2 linked regions of the Ovis aries genome follow. The protein of the gene in region 2 purifies or fractionates together with the protein of the main gene of each other region. This does not show direct contact. Links are inferred from orthologs where the notes say so. Each region holds a gene or a part of one and is shown on either strand. Other genes may lie near its edges.

Region 1 (4,344 bases), on a different chromosome or scaffold from region 2:
ATCACTAGCCTGCCAGGGAATTCCCTGATCTCTGATGATACTATTGTAATTTAGAGTAAAAAATCACACACATGTAAGACATTGAACTTGATCAGCTCTTGAAATAACAACAACGGATTGAGAATATTACACAAACTTTTAGTTAATAAAGCAGTTGCAGGGTATGAGAGGACTCACTCCAATTTTGAAAGAAGATTTACTGTGGGTAAAATACTATCAAACAGCATTGCATGCTACAGAGAAATTGTACTGAAAGTAAGCAAGTTCATGCAGCAAATTCATCGTCTTATTTCAAGAAATTGCCACAGCCACCCCAGCCTTTAGCAACCACCACCCTGATCAGTCACCAGCCTTCAGCATCAATGTAAGACCCTCCACTGGCAAAAAGATCATAACTTACTGAAGACTTAGATAATGGTGAGCATTTTTAAGCAGTAAAATATTTAAAAATTCAGATAAACATTGTGTTTTTTTAGATACAATGCTGCTGCTGCTGCTACTAAGTCGCTTCAGTCGTGTCTGACTCTGTGCGATCCCACAGACGGCAGCCCACCAGGCTCCCCCATCCCTGGGATTCTCCAGGTTGCTGCACACTTAATCGACAAGGTAAGCATAAACTTAACATGAATCAGGAAACCAAAACATTCGTGACTTGCTTTAACATGGTAGTTTGGAACCAGACCCACAGTATCTCTGAGGTATACCTGAATAGCTAGAGAAAAAGAGACGTACATAATGTTTCATGGAAAAACTAAGTCTTCATGGAAAGGTAGGACTGGTAGACAAAGGAACGGGCAGTGCAGGTTAGAGAACCATACATATGACTGGGAACGCCTGAACTGTCTGAGTACGTATTATGTTTCTTAAACAAAGCACTTACCTGTACAATTGGCAAAGTTGTAAAGAGTTCAGAAACAGCTACTGGTTTGTCAATTTCCTACAACAAATAAAGAATAATTTTTAGAAAGCTTATTTCTAGCATGCAGAAACACTAGATAAGCTGTGTGTATGTCCATGTAAAGACAGTTGAAGCCAAGTAGGAGCTGAGAACATCAATGGAAAGGAAGGATGAACAACAATTTTTTAGAATGAAACAATCTGTAAGGAACAATTGTTGGCCTAAGGAGAGATACACATATTTACTAGTATGTTCGGAAGGGAAATCAATCAGTAATGAGTCCATGACGGTAAAATAAAAAAGATGAACTATTGTGATTAAAGTTTAAACAACAACAATGCACTTTTTAAAAAGTTACTTAACATCAGATCGACTTTAAGAATCTTTACACCATACCCCAGCACTTCACAAAAAAGTTATCATTTGTACAGATATGTATCAGCTCAACTATTAACACATAAAACAATGCACAGAGTGCTCATCTGTAGCTTCCACATTACCGATACACACAAAATAATTATAAATGCTGGTTATTATTGTCAGAAATCCTATTTTACCTGTTTCTTTTCCTTAAATTCAACAACATGATTGATGGCAACAACTGAATAGCCCACTGAAAAGAAAAATTGAACATTCTTGTCAAATACAACAACCTCTTTTACACATAAGCTCATACCAATTCATGTCAAGACTACAAGGCAGAAGAATGGTTATGAGTATGGATTCTGGAGTCAGATTTGCCTGTTCTCAAACCTAAACATTACTACTTAAAAGTTACTTAACCTTAAGTTTCAGGTTGTTCATCTGCCAAATGGTGATGATATCAGGATTCATCTCATACAACTGTCATGGGAATTAAATGAGATAACACATGCTGGATGTTTTAGAACAGTGCCTAGCATAGACACAGGGCTTTGTTTGACTTTGGTGATGTATTATCAGCATGATAACAAAGACCTTTATCTTTGCCTATCTTCTTTCAACCATTATTCTTTTTCGTGTCCCTATGTTCATTTTCATCTCATCAAATTTATACTTTTTTCACTATCAACTTCATTCTTACTTTTCCGTTTTTTCTTTTGCTTTTTACCCTTTCTACTTCTTCAGAGACCCTTTTGCTAAGGTGAAACAGGATGACCACTAATTCACACCAATGTCCACGTTCTCCTTTGAGCTACCCACCAAGAGACTGAGAACTCTCTGAAGCCAAGGCCTGGCTTTATCAGCCTCAACACAGCACTGCTCTGGACATGTGGACTTCAAAAATATGTTTAAATCATGACTCCAATCTTTAAGCTATTTAAACAGCAACGGTGACGACAGGATATTAATATTAAAAGATAACGCATATTACGGTCAAAATAGTGGTCTCCCCCCTCATGAGTTTGTCCAAGGTCCTTTTCTTCCTCTCTCAAATATTTACTGAGCGTCCATTACTTAACAGACCCTGAAGAAACCTCTTCTATTTTGAAACCCTTCTACGCCCACTTAGACAGCAGTTGTGATTCACTTCAATAATTAAGGTAAGGTCTTAACCTCTCTCGGCTTTTGTTTCCCCTGGATTCAAACAGGAGTTACATTTTAGCCATTCTGCTCTCCTCCCACCCTCCTAGTAAGTCCTCCGCCCCCACTTACTCTCCGTGTAAATAACATTCCGACACTCGGAACCACATGTCCCCATTCTCAGGGCCCCCACAGGACTCCCCCTCTCTGCATCAGTTTCCCGCATTTGACAGCATCAGGACAATGTCAAGAGACTTAGGAAGGGGCGATATGAAAGGCACTGGTGTAGGCGTATACTTGGGAGCCCCGTCTTCTTCCATCCATCAGCTGTGGGGCCCATGCAGATCCCCCGCCATGTCAGGGCCTCAGTTTCCTCAATTCGCAAGACAGAAGGAGCTGGACTGGGTAACATCTCCCCAGGGCTTTCGAGTTTCCCGCGCCTCGGGTCAGAGTAACACCGCAGGGGCATCAGTTTCTAAGGACACGCCGGAGGCCCCAGGACACCAGAACTAGGCCCGCCGGGTCCCTCCAGAGCATGGCTCGACAGCCTAGGGACAGCGAGACAGCGCAGGCACGGCGGCCCGCGCAGCCCGGGAGACTCACGGTGAGCAGCGTTCTCCACGAGCCCGCGCAGCGCCTTCAGGTCGGAACCCGCCCGCAGGTCCAAGTCGGCAAACGCCGCCATGCTGAAGCCACGTGAGCCCCGGCGCCGGCGCGGCCTCTGGGCCCCGCCTCCCCGGGCATGCCGGGAACTGCAGTTCAGCGGCTCGGCCAGCCCCGCCCTCCCGCAGTCTGCGGGTCTCCGCCTCCTTTCTTGCCTTCAAGTACCAGCAGAAGTTAGCACGTGGAGATTAGCAGCCTCGCTTCAGCCCTTCGTCTTCTTCCAAATGAGAATGTCTGGTTTCTCCTGGGGTTGGGCCGTGGGGGTTCACACCTCCCACCCTTCATCCTTGGAAATAATGTAGAAAATGATTCTTTTAAAATGGACATATACACCATTAATTGAGCGCCTACTTGAACCAAATCCTTTTGCTAAGGGCTGGAAATGCTTTAAAAGTAGTAGGGAACTTGTTCTTTTTTCCCCCGTTAAAGGCCATTCCGTTGTTTAAAATGGACTTAACGGAAAATGGGGAAACTGACCTAAAAGCGGATTGCCAGGGGGAAAGGTCTTTTTCCTCTGTCTGAACTGGGAGTTCACAGCGCGCTACTTCCTTACACTCAATATCGTCAGCCACCAGATGGCAGGGTTCTTTCTAGGATGAGAGGTTAGCTCCATCACTGGTTCAGCCAAAAGCTGGTTAGACAAGAGAGGGGCGTAATTAAAATAAGAAGAAATGTACAATCAAATTCCACACAATTGATATTTCCACATTTTTGAACTCGTGTAAGTGAACTCTTCTTAAATATTGATCAATGATCCGAGAACATAAAACTGTGAAACTGTAGTTGACATCAGATGACATCATGTGGTTGGATGGCATCACCGACTCAATGGGCATGAATTTGAGCAAACGCTGCAAGACACTGGAGGACAGAGAAGCCTGGCGTGCTGTAGTCCATGGGGTCACAAAGAGTTGGACATGGCTTAACAACTCAACAACAACAATAATAGTTAACATCAGTGCTTTTTCAAACGATCTGTGATGAAGGGCCTGGTTACTGCCCTCCCCACCCACCCACCCAGTTGTTCTAGGACCCATTCCTGTTTCCTCCTGCATGACCAATAGACAAATCTGGCCTCAAAAGTTTGGTCTAACATCTGAATTGCTCTGTACTCGACTGAATAAGAAGAGTCCAATAGCTAGGGACTTGGGTATACAGATAAGGCCTAATGGGTGTGAAAGTTTCTAAACAGTTCTAATTTCTGTGCTAACTTATCACAGATAGTACACAGACAATCTCTAGCCTGAGGCCACATCTTGACTTGTATTCGTCTCATGACT
Region 2 (3,767 bases):
CTTCGTCCAGACTCTCCTCTTACCTTTGTGCCTTGACTGTGGTTCTTTGTGGCAAGATGCTTTGGTTGGTAAAACATAATATGGAACAAAGGATCCACTGAAGTAATCCTTGTGTCCTGTGGTAATTTGACAGTAGCCTCTGTTGATGTGTTAGAAACTTAAAAATGCATGTTCCTTGGAATCTCTGGCAGTCCAGTGTCAGGACTCCACACTTTCACTGTTGGGGGCCTGGGTTTGATCCGTGGTGGGAGAACTTTAGATCCCGCAAGCCTTGTAGTTTGGCCTCAAAAAAAAAAAAAGCATATTCCTGGTGCCTGCCCTCAGTAATTGACTGAGGTCTGGAGTGGGCCTGGGCATATCTGCCTTTTAATCATACGCCTCATTTGAGTTTGGAGGCCTTTGTGAAAGTAATCTGAGAGGAAATTTCAGCCATTTCTTTCAAACTGGAGTCCTGATTGGGGCAAGGTGTGGGTGGGGGGGGGGGGTGGTTGAGAGAGGAGAGAATTCTCATGCTCTCCTGACATGACTACCCTCTCCCTGTCTCAGGGTTTATGCATATTCTGTCCCTCTACTTCTAACCTCAGGAAGGAGTGGTATTATGAAGCAGAAGCAGCAGCAGCAGGTCAAGCAGGAAAGGAGAGGCAGAGATTGAAGGGAGGGACGTGGAGTACTACAGGGGATATTTCTTCAGGGGGATGCTGTTGAAAGGTTTCTGTGCTCAGTTCCTGAGACTAGGGGTTAATGAGGATCCCCTACTGTGGCCAGCACTGCATCTGCTAAGTGGAAAAGATTGGGAGGAAGCTGTGCTTTCTAAGGGCCAGGAGCCCTCTTCCCTCCCTCCACTACCCTCATGATCCTTTCCAGCGTCACTCCCACTGGCACCAGTGCCTTTTCTAAAAAAAGGAAGACCTGCTGCTTCTGTCTGTAGGTTTTCAAGGCATCTGCCTTTGTCTTCAGGAGCATAGGGCAGAAAGTCTAGCTGGGTATAAACTGCACCTAACCATCTCCCAACCTATCTGCCTAAAAAGAAGAGTCTTCTGTCCTGACGATGTTTAGGGGTTTAAGACTCTTCTGCTCAACTAACTTCTCCAGTCTCCGCCTAATGTAATTATCGGCTTGAGAAAGACTAGGAGGAGGCCCCTGGACTCTCATTGCAGGGGCGGGGTGGATTTTCGAACAGTTGGGTCTGTGAGGCCATAGGGTGGCGCCAGAGAAAGGAAGACCAGAAAGAAAGGAGTGTGCATCGCTCCCGGAACTACAATTCCCAGGAGGTCTCGCGCGGACGCCGGGGGCGTGGCTATCCTGGGGCGGGGCCTGTGGACGGTCGCGTGTGGAGAGCTCGCGCGGCGCGGATGGCGGGGCCGGTGAAAGACCGCGAGGCCCTCCAGAGGCTCAGCTTCTTGTACCAGGTGAGTCCGCGGCGCACGCACGGCGGGGAACCCAATGTGGAGGGCCCCCAGTGACGGCTCACTTCCCCAGGCCGCCCACTGCGTCCTCGCACAGGACCCAGAGAACCAGGCGCTAGCGAGGTTTTACTGCCACACGGAGAGGACCATAGCGAAGCGGCTCGTATTACGGCGGTAAGAGAGGTTATGGAGCCTGGCAGCGGGCGGGACGGGGGAAGGACTGGAGAGGGAGAGCGGGCGTCTGGACTACCACCTGCCTCCGCCCCCAGGGACCCCTCGGTGAAGCGAACTCTCTGCCGTGGCTGCTCTTCCCTCCTCATCCCGGGTCTGACCTGCACCCAGCGGCAGAGACGTAAGTACCCTCTTGCTGAGGTGGGATGTATGAGGAACACCTGTGGGCTGGGGAGGGGACGGGCAGTGATCCCTTTCTCGAGGCAGACGCGTGCCAGGTGTGGGATTTGGAGTCGGTGGCTTTCTCTGAGTTGTTAACTCTACTTGGACAGACAGATCTGGGCAGTAGAAAAATGATGTTGCCCTGAGAGGCAGCCTCGCCCGGCCATGATAATAGATGTTATTTGACATCATAGAGGATGATTCGCATCTTCATTCGTTCACTCAAGAATTATTTTTCTGAGATGTGTCAAGGATTGCTCTAGAATCAACATTCTCATTGAAATATGGTTTCATGGGATGGACTAAGAGGAACGATTAGAATAGCCTAGAAAAATGCTTCAGTTAGGGGAGTAGAATACGAAGTTACTTAAACCAGTGGTGGTGAGGTTCTTTATAAGGGCAGGGGAGTAGGAGATGGAAATCCTTGCCATTTGTGAGGCCTCAGGAAAGAAAGCCTGTGGTGCTGTCAAGGAACTGAGAGTTCAGGAGGCAGGCTTTGAGGTGGGCAAGGGCAAGACCTGAGGTGGGAGAGGGAAGCAGGGCAGATCTTGAGTCTTGTTAAGGAGTTTGGACTTTGTCTTAAAGGGTGCCAAGAAAATGATAGACTTTGTTCAGGGACCTGACACCATCAAATTTGCGTTCAAGGTGGGGAGGGAGGAGAATCCCTACTAGAAAACAGTGGAGGCAACACTGGGTTCAGGAGACCTTTTCTTCTCCTAAACCTGGGCACTCTCTTTCTCCCACATGCATTCCAGGCTGCAAGGGTCAGCGCTGGACTGTACAGACCTGCCTGACATGCCAGCGCAGCCAGCGGTTCCTCAACGACCCGAGGCATGTGCTCTGGGGAGACCGGCCCGAGGCCCAGCTGGGGAACCAGGCAGGTGAGAGATGGTTGAGAAAATGGGGGTTAACCCAGGGAGTAGAGACAGTGGGTAACGGAGAGCTGCAGAAGACAAATGGGTGAGTTTTGGGTTGGTGTGGAAAGTGCCAGTCTTCAAAAACTAATTCTGCTCATCTACTTAGATTCCAAACCACCACAGCCCTTGCCAAACACAGCCCACCCCATTCCAGCCCAGCTTCCTGAGGAGAAAGTGCAGCCTCAGAGCTCCAGTCACCAGTGATGGACTCACTCTGTCTTCCAAATAAATTTTAATTCTGCTTAACTTTGTGTAATTCCGTTCTGTGAATGTTTCAGCTCTTTCCTCTGTTTCTGTCTGCATTTCTCTGTCACCAGTTAACCTCTTCTTTGTCCTTTTTGTCTTTTGTTGTTGTCATCCTCTTAGTCCCACCATTCAGGGAGATAGATCCCAGTTTCCACTTGGCCCTGGGAAGTAGCTCTCATTTCCAGGACCCTGCCTCCCAAGTGCCCCTCCACCCTTGCCTCCTTGGTACAGTACCATGGTTGGAACTCAGGCTCCAGGGATGTTTGCAAAGCCCTGAACCTTAAGATAGTCCATTTTTAGGTAGCTCTGACTGTTGACTAAAGGGCTGGACAGACAAACTGCTGATGCCACTGATGCTGTTTTTGTTTTATTTTGTTTAATATCTATCTATTTGGCAGCACTTGAACTCTTTAGCTGTGGCATGCAAGGCTCAGCAGTGGCATGGTTTCTTCGTGGCATGTGGGGTCTTAGTTCCCCGACCAGGGGTAGAACCTGCATCCCCTGCATTGCTAGTCAGATTGTTAACCACTGGACTACCAGGGAAGTCCCTGATGCTGTTTTTATTTTATTCTTTTTTAAATGTTATTATGGAGTATAAGTACTTTACAGTGTTGTGTTTGTTTTTGCTGTACAACAGAATGAATCAGCTATGTGTGTACATGTATCCCCTCCCTCTGGAACCTCCCTCCCACCCCTTATCCCATCCCTGTAGGTTATCATAGAGTACCCAGCTGAGCTTCCTATGCTATACAGAAGCTTCCTACTAGCTAGCTATTTTACACACTGTAGTGTATATATGTCATTG

What was found.
Region 1: the proteins of RPP21 (region 2) and RPP30 purify together in Homo sapiens (co-immunoprecipitation; 3 studies listed by BioGRID and IntAct, counting the BioPlex papers as one, with this or other methods). This does not show direct contact. The link is inferred for Ovis aries from reciprocal best matches to the Homo sapiens genes RPP21 and RPP30.

What each region holds. Positions count from the first base shown.
Region 1 is NC_056075.1:12,318,772-12,323,115, reverse strand, and holds the start of RPP30 (ribonuclease P protein subunit p30), read right to left. Parts: upstream 3,100-4,344; 5' UTR 3,087-3,099; coding exon 3,005-3,086; intron 1,512-3,004; coding exon 1,456-1,511; intron 938-1,455; coding exon 881-937; intron 1-880. UniProt on the Homo sapiens protein: Component of ribonuclease P, a ribonucleoprotein complex that generates mature tRNA molecules by cleaving their 5'-ends. Also a component of the MRP ribonuclease complex, which cleaves pre-rRNA sequences.
Region 2 is NC_056073.1:27,568,414-27,572,180, reverse strand, and holds RPP21 (ribonuclease P protein subunit p21), read left to right. Parts: upstream 1-1,299; 5' UTR 1,300-1,352; coding exon 1,353-1,409; intron 1,410-1,479; coding exon 1,480-1,580; intron 1,581-1,675; coding exon 1,676-1,758; intron 1,759-2,554; coding exon 2,555-2,680; intron 2,681-2,822; coding exon 2,823-2,920; 3' UTR 2,921-2,962; downstream 2,963-3,767. UniProt on the Homo sapiens protein: Component of ribonuclease P, a ribonucleoprotein complex that generates mature tRNA molecules by cleaving their 5'-ends.